Linked DNA regions of Styela clava. The protein of the gene in region 3 interacts with the protein of the main gene of each other region in a pairwise test. Links are inferred from orthologs where the notes say so. Each region holds a gene or a part of one and is shown on either strand. Other genes may lie near its edges. The genes, in order: uncharacterized protein LOC120336830, centrin-3-like and centrosomal protein POC5-like.

Evidence for each region.
Region 1: the proteins of centrosomal protein POC5-like (region 3) and uncharacterized protein LOC120336830 interact in binary tests that used the Homo sapiens proteins (3 or more experiments, as listed by UniProt). The link is inferred for Styela clava from reciprocal best matches to the Homo sapiens genes POC5 and CETN1.
Region 2: the proteins of centrosomal protein POC5-like (region 3) and centrin-3-like interact in binary tests that used the Homo sapiens proteins (3 or more experiments, as listed by UniProt). The link is inferred for Styela clava from reciprocal best matches to the Homo sapiens genes POC5 and CETN3.

The regions. Positions count from the first base shown.
Region 1 is NC_135251.1:24,741,461-24,748,681, reverse strand, and holds uncharacterized protein LOC120336830, read right to left. Parts: upstream 3,064-7,221; 5' UTR 2,639-3,063; intron 1,802-2,638; 5' UTR 1,789-1,801; coding exon 1,279-1,788; 3' UTR 595-1,278; downstream 1-594. Other genes in the region: E3 ubiquitin-protein ligase RNF123-like, read right to left, coding at 6,408-6,498, 6,852-6,937. UniProt on the Homo sapiens protein: Plays a fundamental role in microtubule-organizing center structure and function. Plays a role in sperm cilia formation.
Region 2 is NC_135263.1:8,826,960-8,833,664, reverse strand, and holds centrin-3-like, read left to right. Parts: upstream 1-4,721; 5' UTR 4,722-4,780; coding exon 4,781-5,284; 3' UTR 5,285-6,146; downstream 6,147-6,705. Other genes in the region: regulatory-associated protein of mTOR-like, read right to left, coding at 668-814, 891-1,049, 1,638-1,720, 1,796-1,898, 2,825-3,010. UniProt on the Homo sapiens protein: Plays a fundamental role in microtubule-organizing center structure and function. As a component of the TREX-2 complex, involved in the export of mRNAs to the cytoplasm through the nuclear pores.
Region 3 is NC_135261.1:1,715,364-1,723,215, reverse strand, and holds the start of centrosomal protein POC5-like, read right to left. Parts: upstream 3,027-7,852; 5' UTR 2,786-3,026; coding exon 2,699-2,785; intron 1,796-2,698; coding exon 1,648-1,795; intron 236-1,647; coding exon 134-235; intron 1-133. UniProt on the Homo sapiens protein: Essential for the assembly of the distal half of centrioles, required for centriole elongation. Acts as a negative regulator of centriole elongation.

The DNA.
Region 1 (7,221 bases), on a different chromosome or scaffold from region 3:
TTGTCTGCCAGCGAGAGCTGTAGGTGAATTCTCGCGCGATTCACGGTCGATTTCGAGAGGCGCGAGTTCTGTGTCCAAGCAAAGTGTCGCAGGTCACGTGGTACCGGATATTCGAATAGTAAAATGCCATTCGAATAATCTAATATTCGATTCGCTATTCGAATACTCCGCCCAGCCCTAGTTGTGATACTGTGTGAGATAATGAATGGCTTTTCGCGTAACCTTTGGTGGCATGTCATCAATACGCCAGAAAACTGTTCACTTACCCAACATGAGCTAAAAGCTCCTTGAGAGGCTATGGTCTGCCAATTGATTAGGTTTTTACACCGAACCTTTAAACATAGATAGTCACAATTGCTTATCATCTATTCTAGTTTTAGCGGTAAGCATGTTTCAATTCTTCATATCTCCATTTCAGATATCTGCTACCAATAGTAGCAAATACCAATTAAATATACTGTAGTGTGGAAAAAAAGATACCTATTGGAGTTGGGTAGATCGGATATGGGTGTGGGTGTAATATCCACGTCAAAACCATCCATTGACATCATGTCTTCAAATTTTGCCTAAATTCTGCATAAAACAACAAGCATACCAAATCCTAGCTTCAACTTTGAATACATGCTTGGGCTGACAGTCACCCAATAAAGAAAACAGCAGATGTGCGAAATATTCTAACAAAACCATTTTTACAAACAATATATGTTGTATCAAACACACTCATAAAATCACAAACAGGAAGAAGAATGATGCAAAGTAAAAAAATAACAATTGGTCCACAAACAAAAATATTACAGGAGTGAAGTCTCTTCCAGAGGAAGAAATGACACACAGCATGGTGAAACTAATGTAAACCACCCACAACTTTACTAAAAAAGAGATTAATAAAGCAGCCATTTTGTGATAGGGCATTTTGTTGTAGTTAAATATGGTCTTAAAATTTAGGGTATTTAAACAAATTTATTCCAGAAAATCAGATAGGCCATTTATCATACTTTAATAGGGCCCTTCAGTTGTGATAATTTCGAGAATACAATATTCAGAGGTAATAGGAATGAAATTTGGAACCTAAATATAGCACCTTACTGATATGCCATCAGTTTAAATGTATTTAACTAATTTATGGAACTATTCAACAAAAAATGATGTCTTGAATTTCACAGGTACAGGTAATGATGAAAATGAACAAGACCGTGTCACTGGCCTATCATCTACAATCGACCTGTAATGATAGGCAGCAGATTTTATGGATATTGAGAAGTTAAAAATTATATTACATCAATATAAACTTGTCTTCTTCATTATTCGAAGAAATTCGGCCTCATTTATTTCACCATCACCATCTCTGTCTGCCTCATCAATCATTTCCTGTAATTCCTCGTCGGTCAAATTTTCACCAAGTTCCTTTGCAACCCGTTTCAAGTTTTTAAATGAAATTTTACCAGTTTCATCATCATCAAACAAACGGAAAGCCTTTAAAATTTCCTCTTTCGAATCTTTTTCACTCATTTTCTGTGTCATCATTTGCAAAAACTCATTGAAATCAATCATTCCTGTACCATCTTTGTCTACCTCTGAAATCATCTTTTTAATTTCTTCTTTCTTTGGTTCGAACCCAAGAGCTCTCATTGCTACTTTTAATTCTTTGACATCGATATTTCCTGAACCATCAGCATCAAAAAGATCAAATGCTTCTCTTATTTCTTGTTTTTGTTCTTCTGTGAGTTCAGCTCTTGCACCACCTTTACGCTTCTGTCCACCAATGTTCTTTTTGTAACTGCTTGCCATTTTGTTTCTTTACCTAATATTGTGAATAAAAGTGTTTATTCAATTATTTATATAAAGATTGTTTATTGAATTTGGTTAAAAAGCAAGTATATGCTTACACACTCTGACACTAGACAACAACAAGGCTGTTGGCTAATGTACATATTAATTGAATATGATACATAATTAAATTGCTCGACCATTACTGCTTTTGGTGAACCATACAATCTCGTCCAGTAATAAACCAGTTACCAACCAGCGGTGTCATGGGGAGCCCAGTTGGTCTCTCAGACGACCATTAAAAATCTATCCTAGGGTAACAAGTATGGGTAGCAAACCTCTAATTCTTTGCACTAAGCCAGGTTTATTTAATTATTATCAATTCTGTATTGTATTGTCTTAAATCACAGAATTATGGTATGCTGTGTGGCGTTTATCATTCAAAATTGCAATCAATATCTACTGATATCCCGGATACCTCAATAAACAAAGCCGCATCTGTACACTGCTATACTAGTTGGGCAGTATACTGATGCTGTTACACAGTCAGTAAACAACTGGGCCAAACAGTCCTGCAGTCATTGTAAACTAGGATAACAGAAAAACCTTATTATAGGCCTACAAGTGATTACAGGATTGCAAGAAAACATAGCTCTGGTACCATAAGGTATTTATATTTTATTAAAATATAACATAGAGAGTGGTAATTAACATAACAGACAAAACAAATCTATGAAACCAGGGGGTCAACAGACAAGCAGATACCGTAATGTCAGAATGTAGAGATGATGAAAAATACATTACACACTTTGCACAAAAAGTTTTCACATATTAGGTCAGTAATTAAACTTCTAGAAACAAAATAACTCACCAATATTCAATCTGGCTCGACGCCTGACAGCTAAACACAAAGTTGAATATGAAAAACTTCCAGACGTCGATCAACCCACGAAATCAAAACAAACGCAAGAAAACCGTTGGAAACGGATTTTAATTTTGTGACCTTTGAACTTACGATCGATAGCAACGAATTTTCTCAAATTTGTTGGTTTATTAATTTTTTTCACTGAGCATCAACTTTCTCATGTAGTTCCGTGAATACGTAATCGCAGATGATTAAATATTAAACGAGACTAAGCGATCAATTGCCGGAGACAAGCGAAGAAGAAGAATAGGAGGTCTAGTTTTCACTGGCTTATAAGTCAATTTAAACACTAAAATGAGCTCAAGGGTCACAAATAACCATAATTCGACTGATGTCGCTAGGAGGTCATTTTCAAATTACGGTACCTCTCAAAGGACTCGACATTTCGCTGAAAATTAATAACGTTATCTATTATCCTTGACCACATCCGTCATACTTTTACTCCGATCTGTTCAGCATGGCAAACTTGGTGTTGTAATCTCTTACCGCATTCACACCCATATGCGACTTCCTTGGTTATGAATTTGCTGCGACGGCGAGACATGATTCACTATTTGGATTTAAAGTCTTACTTTAGTGTAAGTTTTGTGCATACGTACAGCGTTTCAAAGCAATTTACTGTGCAATTGATTTAAGTTCTTCAAACTGTTGGCATCGATTCTAATGACACGCCATTATTTGAATCCCAAATAATAATTTCGTATGCTCTGTCTGGAATACCTGTTCGTCAAGCTGAAACAATGATCACTGTAAATACTGTTTGCAAACAAGTATTTTATCTTGCCTGTTCCTTACAATCAAGATGATAATTAGTTATTATCGGAATATCGGCTTTCTTGAAACACTGGCGTGTCGATAGGCGATTCAAATTTTTAATTTAAGAAATATTTTTACAAATAGTAATTACAATAGTTCAATGAGGTTCACCTATAAGCCAATTTTCACACTCCGGACAAGTCGTACACGACATTTTCGGGATACCGGGCAATTTACGCACTCACGGGTCACAACTCAGTAGAACGGACAAACCTTCTTTGTTGAATGAGTCAAAAAAAAAATTTTTTTTTCGTGTGGAAAAGTAGACTGTCGGTCATATCATAGTGGGTTCTATCGAAGTCTGCATCAATGAGAAACTTGCCGTCGCATCTTCTCTACACGTCTTATAATCGTTGATTGGTATTGTGTATCTTTGACATGGTTTCGAGCTTAACACATGCAGCACTTATATACGGACTGAGGCGATTTATCGTACTCTACGAAATCCTTGTACGAAAACAGGGATTCGGTTTTATTATCAATTTTTCCATTCCTGCGCTAGAGGTCATTGAGGAATATAAAGTGCTCTTTAGATCCAACAATTTAACACCGTGTACCTCCGGAAGTAAAAGAGCACTGGTCAAGGAGGACAATAAACCTGTCGGGAATTCGTTACAACATAGGTTACCTCCCACTGCCGAACTAATGAGCGCATACGAATTTGGCTATCATCGTAAACAAATCGGTGGTGAAAAGTTTTTGAAGAAACCTATACTGTTTATCGCTCAGCAGTAAACGTGGTTCCAGGTTGTCAATAATCAGTGTTTCAATGAGCTAATGATTGGCAAAGATGATAGGACAATGAGATAAGGATCAGCACAATCGTCGAAGTCTTTAACTGCCTGATGGGCAACGGCATCCAGCAGTACAATAAAGCTGATTTACACCAACACTAAGTAAGTTCAGATAAAATAGTAGTCAATTCCAAATAGAACATAAATTCCACAAGTCCGTCTTGAATAAGACAGACAAAATCGGACTAACTTTGAACATAACTGGAAACGGATAATTTTTAACGCGCCAGTTTCCTCTCACACGGTCTTGCGTTTCCAATTCAGTTGAAACGAAGCGGTACATGAAGTCCAAGGAACCCTGGTATATCAATTCTGATTGAAACTATGGATAACAAGTGTACAATGATATCCGGAAAATTTATTAATAATGCTTTGTACAGAAGATTCGGGCTAATAATATTCATGAGTAAAACATACCTTTTTAACAAAATAATTGCATATTTTGTGATGAACAAAATAAAGATTGCAAATCACAGAATACGATATTATATCATAACAAATGGTTACGTGTAAAACTTGTGAAAAAATTACTAGTATAGGCATTTTATGCGAACTCTAGCAGTTGACCTAAATTGTGACTACGGCTCTCATTCAAAGCTTGTTTTCATTCATATTAACTTCTGGTTGACCTTCTTATCTTTATTACACCAATGGTCAAATATTCTTCAATCTATTTAGCTAAAATAAAATGCGCTACATTGTTAGTCTAGATCAGTGTTTACCAACTTATAGGTCGCGACCCAAAACTGGATCGCCTGGAAATCATCTTGGGTCCCTTATTTTTTCCGCAAGCTTGGAAATTATTGTTTTTTTAGGAAATTGTTTTGTTTATTTTATATTTAGTATTGTGGAGTAGCTCAGTAGTAATTGTAAATGCGAGAAGTATCACATTGTAAAATATTGGCAGCATCTATTTCGTTTAAATAAACCCCCGCGGTCCCACCACGAAGCACTATAAAAGTACTACGCGTCGTTTAGTATGAGAGTATATCCTCGGGTGGCAAGAGTTTACAAATTTTTTTTTTAAAAAATTTGGGTTGCTTGAAAAAAAGGTTGGGAACCACTGGCTTAGATCATCAAAAGAACATGAGATTGGAGAGGTGTAACCATGTTAAAATACAAAATAACATGAATTGAAGATTGAAATTTGCCTGCAAATTAAATGCATTTTACAAAGTGCGAAATTTACAAAAAAAAAATCAAATCGACATAAGAACATAGCCTAGCATAATAGGCAAACAATAAAGTTCAATTAGAAAATAGGTTCCGTTTAATTAGCTACAGATAGATTAAGAGCATTTTCCATTATCCTGTGCCTTTCAAGGGCTACAAGGTGCCATTTTTTGGAGTCGACAAAACATCACTTCAATGCCCTCATAACTAGGACCTAACGCGACTAGAGTAACACAGGAGTGAGCTATAATACAAGTTGTATCCCCCATCAAATTTTTGCACGCTGGATAAGGGGACAGAGTCTTATCCCCCCCAAAGGTATGAAATATAAAAATGGAAATAATGTAAATGATATCCAGAGCAAAGTTTTTGAAATGATCACACCGATACTTAACATGCTAACGTAAGCCGCCAAAATTCTAATGAACTAAAAATTTCCCTTCACACCCATTGAAATATAAAATAAATAGGCCCAATCGAAATTACACAAAAAGATTGAAAATTAATATTTATTAAAAATATATCACTAGAGAAAATCGAGTTTATGCTATTTTTAAGCAAAACGGATTTGTGGTATTGGAATAAGCTCATTTGTAACCAACTTGTATCTATTATATAATTGCCTAACATTTTTTTTGAGCCCAATTTCACAATTCCGTATTGAGAATCAGAATTTGTCGACACTAATACCATGGTGGGAGACAACCACAATTACATCATGGGTCATAAATACCAGAACCAGAAATTTCATTATCGTGATTTGGATAAGAAAAAAGAAAATACATGTTTTTTTACTAGTTTTCTATGTTTTAAATGGAGCCAGTGTTATCCGAGTATAAAGCAGTCGTAAATAGTACTAATTTGGTTCAATATTCCTCGTCATAAGGCGTTGTAGTAAGGCGCAAGTTCTATATTTTAAAATCAAACTACATTTATTTATTTTCAATTGGCTTGAAACTTTCAACTATTGCTTTGCAGTAGAAACATTCCTTGGCGTTCATTAGTTGGTGGCTGATGCAGGACCTGGAATAAAGATGTAATTATAATTATAATTAAACAAACCGGTACAGGCGCCCAGTATGATCTCCGTCAATGCAGGGTAATCAATCCACCAGCAATGTTTTGCACAAAAAATTGTACCAAAAGTGCCAGTTCATTTTGAGTGCTGTGCAACTCGTAGTTATCTTTGCGCGAATGATTGAAACAAGTTCACTAATCTTCCTCAGTTTATGGACTATCGAGACGGAAGACGGCATTTTTCCCGCGGGGGTAGAAAAAAACCTTTACCCGTTTTTCGCATATAAGGCATACATAAGCTCCTATATACATAATTACCTCATATAATTAAATTGTATTGCAATATAACATATACTTACTTGCATGAAGTATGACCACAGGGATTGAAAGAAACTGAAATCTCATTAGCATAACAAATAGTGCAAAGACTTTCCTCGTCCATGGGCTGCAAAAAACAGTTAAAAATCCATTGTAATCGATTCCATCGTAAGGGGAAATTGTTTAACACGAGTCTAATTCTGATAATCAATAGTTTTTGAATAAACGTCCTAATTATAATAAATTCAAACGTTGAGAATGGCACAAACAAGTTCTAAGCCTGCAAATTAATGCAGTCATTGGGAATAGCACCTAGTCAAGTTTGTTGTCTCTTTGGAGGCCGGAAGGTCCAAGCCTCCCACCCACCCTGTTCAAGCCAACATAGAAATCCTCTAAGGCCCAGTGGTTCTC
Region 2 (6,705 bases), on a different chromosome or scaffold from region 3:
TTATTTTACTACTAAGTGAATTTTTTTTGTGTAGGTATTTCAAAGCTTAGAGATACACGAAAGTATTTGTCATTACTTCAAAAATAAGTCATTTGAACAAGCGGGAAACAATTTCGCGCACATAATAAACAAACAAAGATTCCAGACAACTATCGTGGACATGCTCTCACATAACATTGATTATTTCGCGTTTCGCTTCGCTTGCGAAGCTGAGTCTGGTTTTTCTGCAAAGGTGACGTAACTCTCTTTCAGAAGAGCGCTTGGAATTTCGTTTCTTTGTAACACGTGTTCATCGAAGCGATAAGAGTGTGAAACGTTCTCTCAAAATTTTTTGAAATTTCTCTCTTCTTACACGCGTAGGGTCGAACGGTTTCGCCTACGTCATTTGGGCGCGTTTTAGTAGGAAGACGCGAAAATAAGCTTTTTAAAGAGATATTGGGGGTGTTCCTTGTACGTTTGGTTAACTGGTCATTACATATTATAAAATGGTACATAAAGTCGATTGTATACAGCGGAAAAAAAGGGTTAAAGAAAATAGCGTTGAGGAAGGAACGATTAGGTAGTCAAGATGCCCCCCAATCTAAAGTCAGGAGATGGGATTCAAATTTGTTGAATAAAAGTCGAGAGTCGTTTTTCAATGATTGGCAATACTATATAGAATTCATACCTGCATGTCTTTCTCCCTTTGTTTTGCAAACATTTTGAAAGAGTTGACAATAACACCAGAATTTGAACAATCATAGACAAATATTGATGGCGTTCCCATCCATGTTTGAAGATCATAAATTGATAGCGGAATATATTGAGTATATGTCTAAAAATAATATACAATTATTAATTAATTCTTTTTGCTATGATAATGCTAAACATGTATTAGGAAAAAGAAGTACCTTGTTGAATACCCAAATTTCACCATTAACAGTTGGCTTCGGAACGCCATGGCCATTATAATGAAATAAAACTCTTTCTTCTTTAGAATTTCTTCGCAATGAAGTACATAATCTTTTGACATCTTCAACTGTCGGATCTAGAGTTTGTTTGTAACGAGCCTACAAAATAATAAATACATAACTGTTTTGTAATATACTAAGTGAATGAATATATATTGTCTTACCATAGGTGACTTATAATTTTTATGTTACAATCTGGTCAGCGAAATATATATCAATACATTAAAACTCTATACAAAATGATAAGACAGGGGGGTGTATTAAAACAGTAATTCTTAAACTTTCACAATCCATGGCCCCCTGCATCTCTATAAAAATACCAAATTTTGAAGTTACATTTTGATCAGTTATTTTATGTTCCATGTTTAATATTAAAAAATTCAACAAAAGAAAGTAAATGCATTATAGTAAAATCACAGTCAATCTATTTAGGCCCTGCTTGTGGCCCGAGAGAACCACTCGTTGGGGGGCCGAGAGCCCTATTTGAGAAACCCTGTAGTAAAATGAATGCAGATACAGAGACTAAAATACTAACAGAATGTCAACTATCCTATTAATAGAGTTCCTGGGTCTGTCTGAATGGCAAGTAAATCTCATCCAACACTGATCATTGATCTCAGTCTGAGATTTGGTCAACCTATTTATTAATATTTTAAGTTTTCAAAGTATAATATTCAAACATCATACTCTTGATTGCCATCTTTCATACTGCTTTTGCAAATTATTTCCGATTGCTTCCAATGCTTTTTGAGGTGTGTAGTTAGATGGATCTATAATAAAAGAAACAAATTATATATAATTCAAGTCCTTTATTACAATAAACAAAGTATTTTAATTAAACAAACCTATCCAACATTCTTGTCTGGCACAAGGTGTTGTTTTCACAACATCTGGAGGATCGACACCAACATTTAAACATAGAACAAGTGCAACGCTGACAGTCTTCATCTAAAAATATAAAATGTGCTACTATTGAATATAGTACTGAGATAAAATCACCAATCAATCCCTTGCTAAAAAAATGCATGCCCATATTATACAATGATTGCAATAGAGCAGTGTTTCCCAACCTTTGATGGCTCGTGGCCCCCTTCCGAAAGCTTTCAGCACTCATGGCCCCCTGTTTATCATTCCAGTGGTATTTATAGTGTTACTTTGATGGGTAGATTCCAAATCCCATTATGTTCAAACAATTCATGTTCAACAAAATGAATCTACCATGTGAAATAACATTTCCAAGCAATGAAACTAGGAACAACAGGAAGTTTTCTTGTCAAGGGAAAAGTAAAATCAGTTTTGCGCCCTGCTCTGTGGCCAATTTACAGGGCCATGGGCCCCCGGCCGAGAACCGCTGTATTAGAGTGTTTATACTTGTAATGAAAAATGTGTACTGTTTTATTTGAAATTTTTATTTATATGTTTATAATGTGAATAATAATAACTCAGTTATTGTTAAAGGAATTAGTTGAAAGAACATTAATACATAGCAAATTAATATTTATATTTAAAGTAATAGTTGCATTTAATAGAATTTCTATAAAACCAATTCTCAACTATTCAAATAATAATATTATTCCAGTAACATCACAATTGAGTGAATATCTTCCATACTAAGTAAATATTCCGCTGAAGGGTTTTATATAAGAAAACACAAATTTTGATACAATGCTTAATTTAATTTGAATATACATTTCAACATTCGATCTACATGAATAGATATGCATACATGTTTCACAAAAATGCAACATTGGATGAAATAATACAATTATCATTAAATAATAATGAACAAAATTGACAGTTATAATATACAACAGAAACACCTACAAAACATCATATAATAAAACGCACCTCTATCAACAAAATTAAACAATTACCCTTTCTTTCATTCTCCATGTTTGTGTGACTGGCTTTGAACTTGTGATGCTTTCCAAGTGTCTTTTTTGTTGAAATGCCAGAGGTAAATTCCATCCTGCTTCCATCATATTATGAAGAATCTCAGCATCCTCATCTACAGTCTCCCCCTCTTTTTCTTCATCCTTTTCAATCCCTCGACCCAACATAGTCTTCAACCAAGCTGATCAATTTACTATAAAACTCTAGTAAAGGAATGGAAGAATGTAGACATTCGGTATAACAATTTTGGCTTCAGCCCTACAAAAGCTGCAAAGCCACAGCTGCACAGATACAAAAAAGGAGAGGTCTGCAAAATAATCAATCTTAACTTCTAAATCTGTATTTTGAATTCTGTAATATCAGTTTCATTGCAAGTTTTGGTCGATAGCATATGTGTAATTATTGAATGGATAGGATTTTCATATGAATCGCTGGGATCTGAATAGAAATCCAAGACTGCAATGATATTAATCACATATCATCATAATCGTACGTAATTTTGTAAAAGAACGACATCCATATTGAGACAAATTAGATTTGACAATACTTGTGATTTTATAGCTTTACTAATGACTTTATACGCCGAGAATATGAGAATGTCACAACACATCTGACATCTTTATGTTTATTTATTATACAGACGCTGTTAAACAGTGAGACAAATTAACATACACACATACAATGAACGCCGCACCATGGTTAACTGAATATAGTTAGCATGGTTAACTGAATATCATGACAAAGCTTTCACGAATATTTTTGCTCAATGCTGCCACCTTGTGAATTTGAACACCGCCACTAACCGTCAGTTTTGACTTGATTGTGTTTTTGTTTTGTCGGTTCCGTTTGAACTTTTATAATACTTTGCAATTCTAGCGCTGAGTTTGGAATAGAAAAGGTATGTAGACTATATGTAATTATTATTGATTCTCACAACAATATTGATATTGCATTTGTTGAATACAGCATTGGACGACAACTTCTGCTGTTCTGGGATTAGACTTTCCTGGCCATACATGCTTGCATAGCTTTTGTCCTTGTATAGAGTACCGGTACCGTAATCCTATTAGATTTTTTAGAAAACATAATACATGTACGGTAGTACAAATATAAAAGAAGGAAAACATGAAACTACTGTAATTCTATGGCTAGTGATAGTTTATTTTTTCTGCATGAATATTTCCCGTACCTTAAAGCGATTTCCCGTCATTCCCGCTTTTTGTGAAATTTCCCGCTTTTTAGTGAAATTTCCCGTAGTTCCCGCATTTTAGTTTTTGCAATTTCCCGTCGTTCCCGCAGTTCCCGCATTTTAGTGCATTTCCCGTTTCCCGCATTTTAGGGTTGCCCCAGGATTAGTTCATGTAAAAATATTCACAACAATAGGCTGACAAACTATATGAAAACTTTCAATCACAAGTTAATGTGAGATATATTACCAATATAAACAAAGTCACGAATAAGAAATCTCGCAGGAAATGATTTGTGTGTATTATGTCTGTATGTGGAAAAGAACATGAACTTCTGAGTCATCTATTTATGAACTGCAGAACTGTTTATATTTTGATTCATTGAAAATACTGTTAAAAAATTTAAAAAAATATTTAATGCTAGACTTTTGTGCCATTTTAATGCCAATATTGTGTTTTATTAGACTTTTGAGTTTTTTACTACTAGAAGACATTTGATTAGCCTATTATTGTGTTTTAAGTTACCATTAGTAGATATAAAATATGGTTACAAAAAAATGTATTATATGTCAAGGCAGTACTCGTATTTACCATATATAGTAATTAAACAAATAAAAACAGCAATCACTTATCTCTGTTTTATCCAATGCTGCCTGTTCTGAATTTATGTTCCTGACAAAAAAAATCTAATCATTTTTTTTTCTTCATAATTGCCTTTTATAGAATTAATATTAAAAAAATAATTTCAAGATGAGTTTGTCTCTACGTGGAGATTTTGGACTGGAAAAATCCAAACGAAAAAAGCGGAGGGAGATTTCAGAGGAACAGAAACAAGAAATTAAAGAGGCTTTCGAATTATTTGACACAGACAAGGATAAATTTATAGATTATCACGAACTCAAGGTCGCAATGAGAGCATTAGGGTTTGAAGTAAAAAAAGCTGACGTCTTGAAAATTTTGCGAGAAAATGACAGAGAAGAAACTGGAAAAATCAGTTTTGATGATTACAATGATGTCATGACAGACTTAATTCTTGAAAGAGATCCCCAGGAAGAGTTGACAAAAGCTTTTAAACTCTTTGACGATGATGACAGTGGTAAAATATCATTAAGAAATCTACGTAGAGTTGCTAGAGAACTTGGTGAAAATATGACAGATGATGAATTGAGAGCCATGATTGATGAATTTGATACTGATGGTGACGGCGAAATTAACCTGGAAGATTTTATTGCGATTATGACTGGTGATACGTGAAACAATTCAAGCTTTAAAACTATCAAAATATTGAGTACAAACATATCTTCCTTTGGAGAAAAAATTTATTTGGAAAAGTTCTAGAATAGCATCTGATTAAAAATGTATATATGTAGTTGTTTTGGGGATTTTGGTTGGAATTATCTGACTATATAGCACGGGGGAATATCTTCTTAATTTTGAACAGAGACTTTGGACCATAAAAAATATTGATAATTCTCTAAATATTAGTTGAGATATTTGCTCCGAAGTATATGTTAAAACTCCATCATCATTTGCACTATGCTTTGCATACAATCCACCCTTTTCATCAGTATACTTTTTATATCATTATTATAAATTCACTTTGCAATAGTATCTATTTTTGAGCGGAACAAAATTCATTGGCAAGGAAATATTCAATCCTAATTCATTCAGTACATTTTATAATCCAGGTAGAAGGCTGTAAGTAGCATATTTTTTTTAAATATTTTTGCGACAGCAATTTACACAATGTTTCTTCACACAACTTTATTATGTATAGTTTTCTATGTTGTTTTATTAACTGATACAAATCATCTTCACAGGAGAAGACCGGATATATAAAATAAGTAGGTACTTCTCGGGCATTGTCTCATTCAAAACCAATATATTTCAGCATTTGTGACAATCCTCATTAATACATTTATATAATCTATTACTCTATTGCTGCTTATTTTTTGTTGCCCCAGCTAATTTTACAAAGCTTGTTGTTTTGTTGTCAATTTTTCATTTTTTTGTGTAATTTAGGGAGATGAAAAGATGGTTGATTCAGTCATTTTTGATATATTTGTTTGCATATTAGTACTTGAATATACGTCTGTGAATAAAATTATTTTTGAAATTGGTGCATCACTCTTAAGGCTAAGCTGTAAATAAGCACCAATCGAAGCTGTCACAAATGTTGTTCGCCCTGGTCGACTTATCGAAAGCAGTCATCGGGCGACGGGTGTCCCCAACCAATCTAGACACTTATCAAATTAATTCTTTTAAATTAATTAATCAAATATCGAATCAAATATATGAGTCCAAACTGAATATGTACCGTTATCACTATTTTCGTCGATACCAACAAAACGCCGATATTTCAGATTGCCGATAATATTAGGCTTACCATACGTCCCGGTTTTGACGAGCTGTCCCGGCCGGTTGACTCAAATGTCCCGGTTTGTCAGCACGGCTGTCATGGGTGAAAAATTCATATTCCTTATTGTTACAATTTTTTTTAACGGTGGCAGCCCATTTACCACTGTTTTGCGACACACTTCGCTAGTTCAGAGAGTAAAAAATGCTCTATTGTTATGTCACAATCGGTATATGTTTTAATGCGTTTTCTGGCGTTAACTACAATGCCGTTAAGTTGTCGAAATGCCATAAAAGAAGTACAAATTTTCTAATGAGTT
Region 3 (7,852 bases):
AGTGAATATACCCCCTGTACATAGCTTTCAGTCCCTTTACACAACTTGATGTAAAGTGGGCGAACAAATTAGTAAACTCCATATTGGTACACATACTTCTGAAGAGCCGCCACTCTGATATATACATACATACCTGGGTTATTCATCTGCCAAGTTGGCTCCATTTGTTTTCTAGCAGTTTCAGGTTCCTCACTCCCAACTGCGCTATCTTCCTCTGTGCGTGATGTGCTTCCAGCTATAAACAAGTATATATCATCAGTGATGAGATAGAAACTTTTAACCCAGAGACAAGTCAAATTTTTCTCTACCCAACATCTGGGTCAATTGTAACTGCCCCCCGACAAATATTAGGTCTAGTATAACTTGTCTTTCCTAACCCATCTGACTACGCCATCTAAAAATAATGTCACTACGACATCACAGTGAGGTAATAAGATAAGACCCACCAAAATATACGGAACGTTGTCCCGAACATGCGGACAATAACCTGCATTCAAGCAAGCTACAGTGTATACTGCTCTATTTTGTTTTTTTGCTGCAACGATCCCGATATATGAAAGGTCGCTGGGGTTAGTGAGTTCATTTTTTTGGCACAAGATGTCATTACTGGCAATCGCTGCTACACTTCGGCAAGCTCTATGAGGTGATTGTGAAGGTTGGGGTATGAATGACGTGGGCAAAAATGGTTATGATACGCCCACTAGAAGTACTTATGGTACTAAACTATACTAGACCCGAAAATTGACCTTTTGAAATCAGCAATCTTCAAGCTAATCTAAATTGAATTTAAAAATTTTGCATATTACTATAAATTGAATAGCCAATGTTCAATTGGAGAGAGTTCGGGTGTAAAAAATATATAGAAGGATAGAATTTACATATTTATTCTGAGGGGGAGGTAAATCTATAAGATGGCTTAATCATATGGCAAAACACAGCGTCTAGTCCGGTTACTAGTCCATTTCGAATATGGGATTAGTTGCCAGTTTTTTGTTTCAGATACATGGACTTTCTTTCTTCTCATGCATGTAGTTTTTTACATAACAGTACGGCAAAAAAAAAACGATTGTTTCATTTGACCAAAACTACGGATATCTTGGATTTGGAGAACTGTGACCTACTGCATGTCAATGGTTCCTTATATACATTCGTGTTCGGAATGAAAACGTTGTCAAAACAGATTACATTCATCAAGGCAATACGACAACCTAATCATTAAAGGATAAGATAAGATTTACATATTTATCCCGGGGGAGAGGAAAGCCGATTTGATGGCTAAACCATATGGCGAACCACGGCCTCTCGTCCGGTTACCATTCCATGTCGGGTATGGGATTAGTTAGGTGTTTGTTTTTCCGAAGCATGGACTTGATGGTGGAGGAAGCCGTAACCGACCAGCGGTTACGTGAACCACCCAACGGCGGCGAGGAGTCCAGCAATCCTCTCGCACATAACCACCCCGCATGGGATTCGACCTGCGAACCCATGCAGAGTGTGGCAGACCCCGGCCTCTCATCCGCTTACCAGTCCATGTATGGGATTAGTAAGCCTGTTTTTACTTTAAGATGTATTTATTTACATATCAGTATTCCCTGTATAGGGTCGTGTTAGGCATGAGATTGTTGTATGGAAAATTATATTCATCACCTGAATATTCATCAATAGTTGTTAATGGTCGATGGTCCGGTTCATTCAATCTTAGTTGAGGCAAAACGGACGGTTGTTCAGTCTGTGCAAATGTAGGATCCCACTTCGGTGTGACAATGGCGTATTTCAGAAGCTCTTGGTATTCCTCCTGGAGCAAGAAAAAAAGATGAAGTCAGTAGAGCAAAATATTTTTTCAATCAATTATTTATCATCTCATTAGCCTCATTTTATTTATTTATTTCAAATTCTCTGGCTCATCAATTAATCAATATGCCTCGTCTGCCATACAGTCTGCACAATGGAGTGCCATATGACCCTGTCCTTATGCCCAATGTGAAAATTTTAAAATCTCCAATCCTAAATGCAGCCAGCACCCTTAATTCCAAGTGCAGTTTCAAGTACTCTGTGGCGTCAGCAGCTGCCGCAAAAACATGGCGGTATTTCCATACCATGGCCGCTACGACCAAACCTATGGCGACTGACTTTTTAGCTGCCACAAACCAATGTCAAGCTGCCGTTACTGCGGCAGCAAATTGAAAACCAATGGCAGGTAAAATTTTGCTGCCGTAACTGCCGCAGGTGAGCCGTAAAGACAGGGCTGACCCTTATGGTGACAAATATTGGGTAAGTTGGGACGTTTTTCTTATGCAGCTATGGTTACGGTTTTCTAAGTATTTGGGGTTAGGGTTTAAGTAGATATAATTCCGCACGATCAATTAAAATCTGGTACGTTAATTTGTGAATATACTGTTAATACTGATTACTGAATAGCGCTATAAAACCATGGCAAGAGCTGCCGCGGTTCGTGCGTGGCAGGAGCTGCCATGAAGTGGTAAGAACTGCGCCTCCTTAATTCAGTGCTGCTTCTTTTTGAGAGTAAGAGTTTTATGTATATTGCTGTAGTGTTAAACAAAGTATAATATCAGAACAATATTATTTTACAATGACTTTAATTGGAAATTAGGTTCCAGAATACGTTGAATTTTTAAATTTATGTGCATCGCAATTTGGCACCCGATCCCCAAGATTTTTTTACACAATTATTTTTCACCTGCAAGCCAGAAGATACTGAACTTCCTCTTGACGTTTCCGACGGTAGGCGCGGTAAATCTCCGCTATCTTCGCTTGTACTTGACATAATCTTGTTCCAAAAATAAATACCTGTACTTCACTCTATAAAATCGAAAACCAATAACTTTGAAAAATATAAACAACGGACCCGGGGTCTCGCTTCAGTGACTACCGGTTTAACTTGTGGTGCATAGAGTCAATTTTTGTAGAATGATAAATAAAACGATTTTTCGACTCCAGTATAAAGGCCGATGAGCAAATACAATTGGCAAAAATTAGATTTTTTTTTATCACGGATCAGAGTATTATATGGCTTGGATCAGTATTTTTATCTTCATTAATACGTCATGTCCGAGTTGTAACAGCTGTTGGGTCGTTTGGTATCATTATCTTTTTTATGCTACCTTTTATGGGTAGCGGAGTAGAAGTTCCACATCTCCGCGGATTTACTGGTTGTTTGACCGTGTTAGTTCTTTCCAGCCTTGCTGTAGCTGGTAAACTTGTTAAAATTGTGGGTGGATTTATATTTGTCTATAAATAGTACAAAGTTATTGCAAATTTATGCAACGTCGTAGGAACTACTACAGAATGATGAAAATATTCATACTTATGTAAAAATGCGTAGCAACTTTTACCGATTTTAAAAATTGAGCGTGAACATTTTTGACTATCCAGCTATATTTGGAAAAGCATTTGCCAACGTAAATCTAAACTGTTGGATCCGATGACATTTGTCGATTAATCTTTTGAGGGAATTCGTTACCTAATGAAAAAACAAGAGAGCGATGCTCAAATATGTAGACACGAAAGCCAAAACGGAGTGGTAAAGGTATGCAATCTGTCACAGAAGACCACCGACACAACAGCGTTCACAACTAACGCGTACGTGCGCAATTTTTATTGACGACATTGTACACAAGAAGCGAATTCCATTGAGCCGCGGTCCGTGTCAGGCCTCCTGCCGGTACCTGAATATATTTCAATATTATATCTCAATTGCTAAATGCGAGGCAGTCATGGCCTGCCGATTTATTTTGTGAGTTCTACCTTCTATTTATGCGCAAACTAAACTTGGCTAGAGATCCCAGTTCATTTAAAACCCTGAACGGCCGAGTGCTTCGCTTAGTTATGACGTCATAACGGCAAAGTTCGAGAGCCATAGCAACTGCCTTGTTACTAGGGCTGGGCATTTTCGAATACCTTGTGATTTCAGAATCGAATCGAATAATATTTTTCGAATCGAATCGAATCTCGAATACTTGAAAATATATAATTGTAAGCGATTTTATTATAGTAATTGGTCCTCTCAACAAATGAATTACCGAAGACATAGAATAAATCACCCAGATAGATTACTAAGCGCTCACACAGAATAACAAACACGTTTTATCAATAACTCACTACAGAAAATAGTCATATGTTAGAATTTCATTGAAAAGATATGACTCCAATGAAAATAAAATTGGGGAATTCACCTCGACCATTAGCGGAAAGATAAAAACAAGATGGCGACGATTCGAAATTTAGCTCTGAATCGATTCGAATAATTTACTATTCGATTCGATTCGAAATGCCCAGCCCTACTTGTTACATTTAAATTTCGCACGATCCGTAACGTGACAGCATGATTTAGAGAAATTTGATAGCGTTTGGGCCCGTTTACGTACGTACACACTATTTCGTTGACGCACCTTCAAACCTTGTTTGTTTAACTTAATCGTGCGTTGCGGCGTTAACGCATATGCGGGATCGTACGGTGAGTACCTGTCTGTTTGCCCGATTTTAATCAGCTCTATTGCGCGATTGAAACGTCGCAGTGATATCATTCTTGGATAACGTAGTCACATGGAGATCTAGATTAAAATATGTCACGTAATTTTTGAATGACGTTGTCAGGAACGATATATGCAAAAATTCTTACCCACACCCACCAGAAGTTATTGTGATGCGAAACTACAGCCATGTGAATGTAAATGATATGTCTATTTCTGCTTGTCTAAAGCCTTACTTAAAGTGAAAACGTAGAAATCCTATTTATTGTTAAAGTGTGGCACAATATTTGGTATATCGCAGGACATCAAACGTAAATTAATATGTCAGTTTCTGCTTGTCTAAAGCTTTTGTTAGAGCTAACGTTTAACGAATAAAATAATAGGTCTTTATATAGGTTGTACCCAACTATATCCATTGCGTGAACGTAAATTAATATATCCACCCACAGAATCACACTGTTGCTCAGATCAATGACATTAAACAACATGATAGGCAACTCTGACGTCACTCCATAAGACTACAGGCAAAACATTGTATTTCATGATACGCTCCAATGCACATATTTCTTGTCGCCTTTCGCGTCCGTTTTCCGCTCGCTTTTGCTACTCGGCGTCTTTTTTACGTGTAGTACCTGCCTTTTTGCGTCTGTAACGAAACAAAATAATCTCTATATCTAAGAAGTTTTGCTTACTTGGAAAGCTGGAATAACAGGCAAGCTGTAAAGAGCAATTCTGGACATCATAGACTTTTTTTTTATTAGAGAAGATTACAAACGCGATAGCGGAAAGATTTGTGTGGAACATTTTGCAGATAATGACAAAGTTCAAAGTTAGTAATTTTGATGTTTGCGCTTAATCATTGAAATTTCATTTAAAGAGGGTGTCATACAAAACTGTGCTGCGATACAATTCCATAACACAAAGTTTGCACCTATCGAACTTGCTTTTGTAGGTGAATTTATTAGACATATTACATATTCAGTTAATCGTAGGTAACATTGCTGGTACATAATGCATCGTAGATAGGTTTGTTTAAATTTAGGAATTTAGCTCATAGCCCACTAATTAATATTATCTTCTATGCAGGAGGTTGCAGGGCTGAATTCAACTTGCAGCCTTACCGATCACCTGACGATGCTCATTTAGTTTGGCTCGAGCAAGTCTTCTTGAAATGCTTGTGTGGATGGAAACTACCTATATTTTTTGCCTTCCTCCGATTTTAGACAAATTTATTCTGAGGGATTTCGCATATAATTCTCACTGATTGTTGGCTGTTTATAATTCCTATTGATTGTGAATTCTGATTATAACAATGAGTTGAAAATTTTTTTACCTAATTTGCTGGCACCTTTTTCTTGTCAATACTCCAAGCTGAGGTAATAAACATGACAATACATTTATGTCATCTGGAAGCAAAATATGCACACTAATTAATAGTTTGGCACATTGAGATAATACATCATGACAGAAAATACAAGTTAAAGATATGTATGACCATCACATGGTAATTAAAATTAATAAAAATTAATAGGGGCTGTGGAGTATGGAAAGTTCAAGACAAAGAAAAGAACAAATGTTCATAGCTCATGAACTCTCAATTTTGCCTCCATTGCTTTGTGAAGGCCAATATATTTCGAGTGGCTGAATTGGTTTACCTTTATGATAGCAACGATTTTGTATTTAATATAGCGAGATTATTTCAATTTAATTGAAGTGATATAATTTCCCAAAGCAATGCTTGAATCGTCTAGAATAGATCAGTGGTGTCAAACTCATGGGTTTTCGAGAGCCGCATTGCATTTTGAAAATTGTAAAAAGAGCCGCAAACAGTTTTTGATAATGTATACTCAAAAGATATTTTGAAGATAGTTTTAGTTTGTGACATATATTGTGATGCAACTAAACAGTTGGATTAAGTTTTATTATTTTCTTCAATTTCAAATGCAATTACATATTAATATTTGCATTCCACTATTATTGCAACATTTGCAAGTTACAGTATTTATTATAAAAAATCGTAAAATTCTATGTACAACCATCAAAATCATTTTTGAACAAGCTTTGAATAAGGAAAGAATAATACATACACTAAAAATAACTTAATCTAAATATATGAACCTAAAATTAACAAAAATACTACAGTATAAACTCAATGTTTTAATAATTACATTTGTCCTGGCGTTTGGCATCTTTTTTGTGTCACCAGCATACTAAGGCCAGTCTGAAATGATTTTATAGTACCAACTCTAACTAACGAGGCCACATGATCATGGGTTTATCTGGATCTTTACGAATGTTTAATTAATTCCAGTAATGCAAAAAAGTTACTTTTATCATTTCATGTATAGATCAGTAAAAAAACAAATGACAGATTTTTTCGACAAGACATTTCGCACTACATTGCGTGGCATAGGATTGCTTGAATTATTATTGATATTGATTTTTAGTAACTAAGTCGTTGTATAATTATATTAATATACAAACACATGGAAATTTTCTGTTCGAAGTTGGTCTTCGAATTTGTCATATTGACTGCTGAGCTTATTGTGTTTTTTGATTGTATTGATGGAAATATGACAAATTAAACAATGTGCTTCAGAATTTTGTGAAGAGCAGAAATGTTACAACTCCCATTTTCTTCGAAAATGCCACCTTCTTCATGTACTTTGCGTTTAATTTAATTACTCAAGTGTTTTATTCAAGTATTCTTTTGCTAGCTTGATGTGTATTCTTAATTGGGTCAAAATGTGGACAAAAAAAATTAATATTCCAAATCTACTTTCAGTAAATTGTTTTCTGTGTGAATAATCAATTTCACTTTAGAAGGTTTGAAAAATCTATTACATTTAGATAAAAAAAAAAACTTCCAAAATACTATTACTATGTTAAGCGTTCGAGGGCCGCACTGGAAGTTCTCTGGGGCCGCGAGTTTGAGATCCCTGGTCTAGATTGAAGTTGTTCAAAAAATATATAACATTATTTTATCATGAATGATGATTATACCCCTTCCGGAATTTCTTCTATAGTACTACCAAAAGTTGATGAACCAAATATAACACAGGTGCAGTGAGGTACCCGTAATCCTCATTTCCAAAGCTGTTTTAAGTATGTCTGGCGTGTTTTGTGCCTTTTTACAAATAAGACCGCTTATGCAATCTTACGCTTTGGAATTTTTAGTTATTTTCCTCAAGCCCTGCAGGATGTGGGGGCCATACACAACTCTACCGGAGGGTCAAATGCCTTTGCATGCCTCCATAGGTTGTTTTTCTATTGCAAATTTCTATTTTCAATTGCATTATATTTCTTGGAATCACACTGTCACTGATATGTCGCCAGACTTCTGATATCTCCCCGTCTGCTAT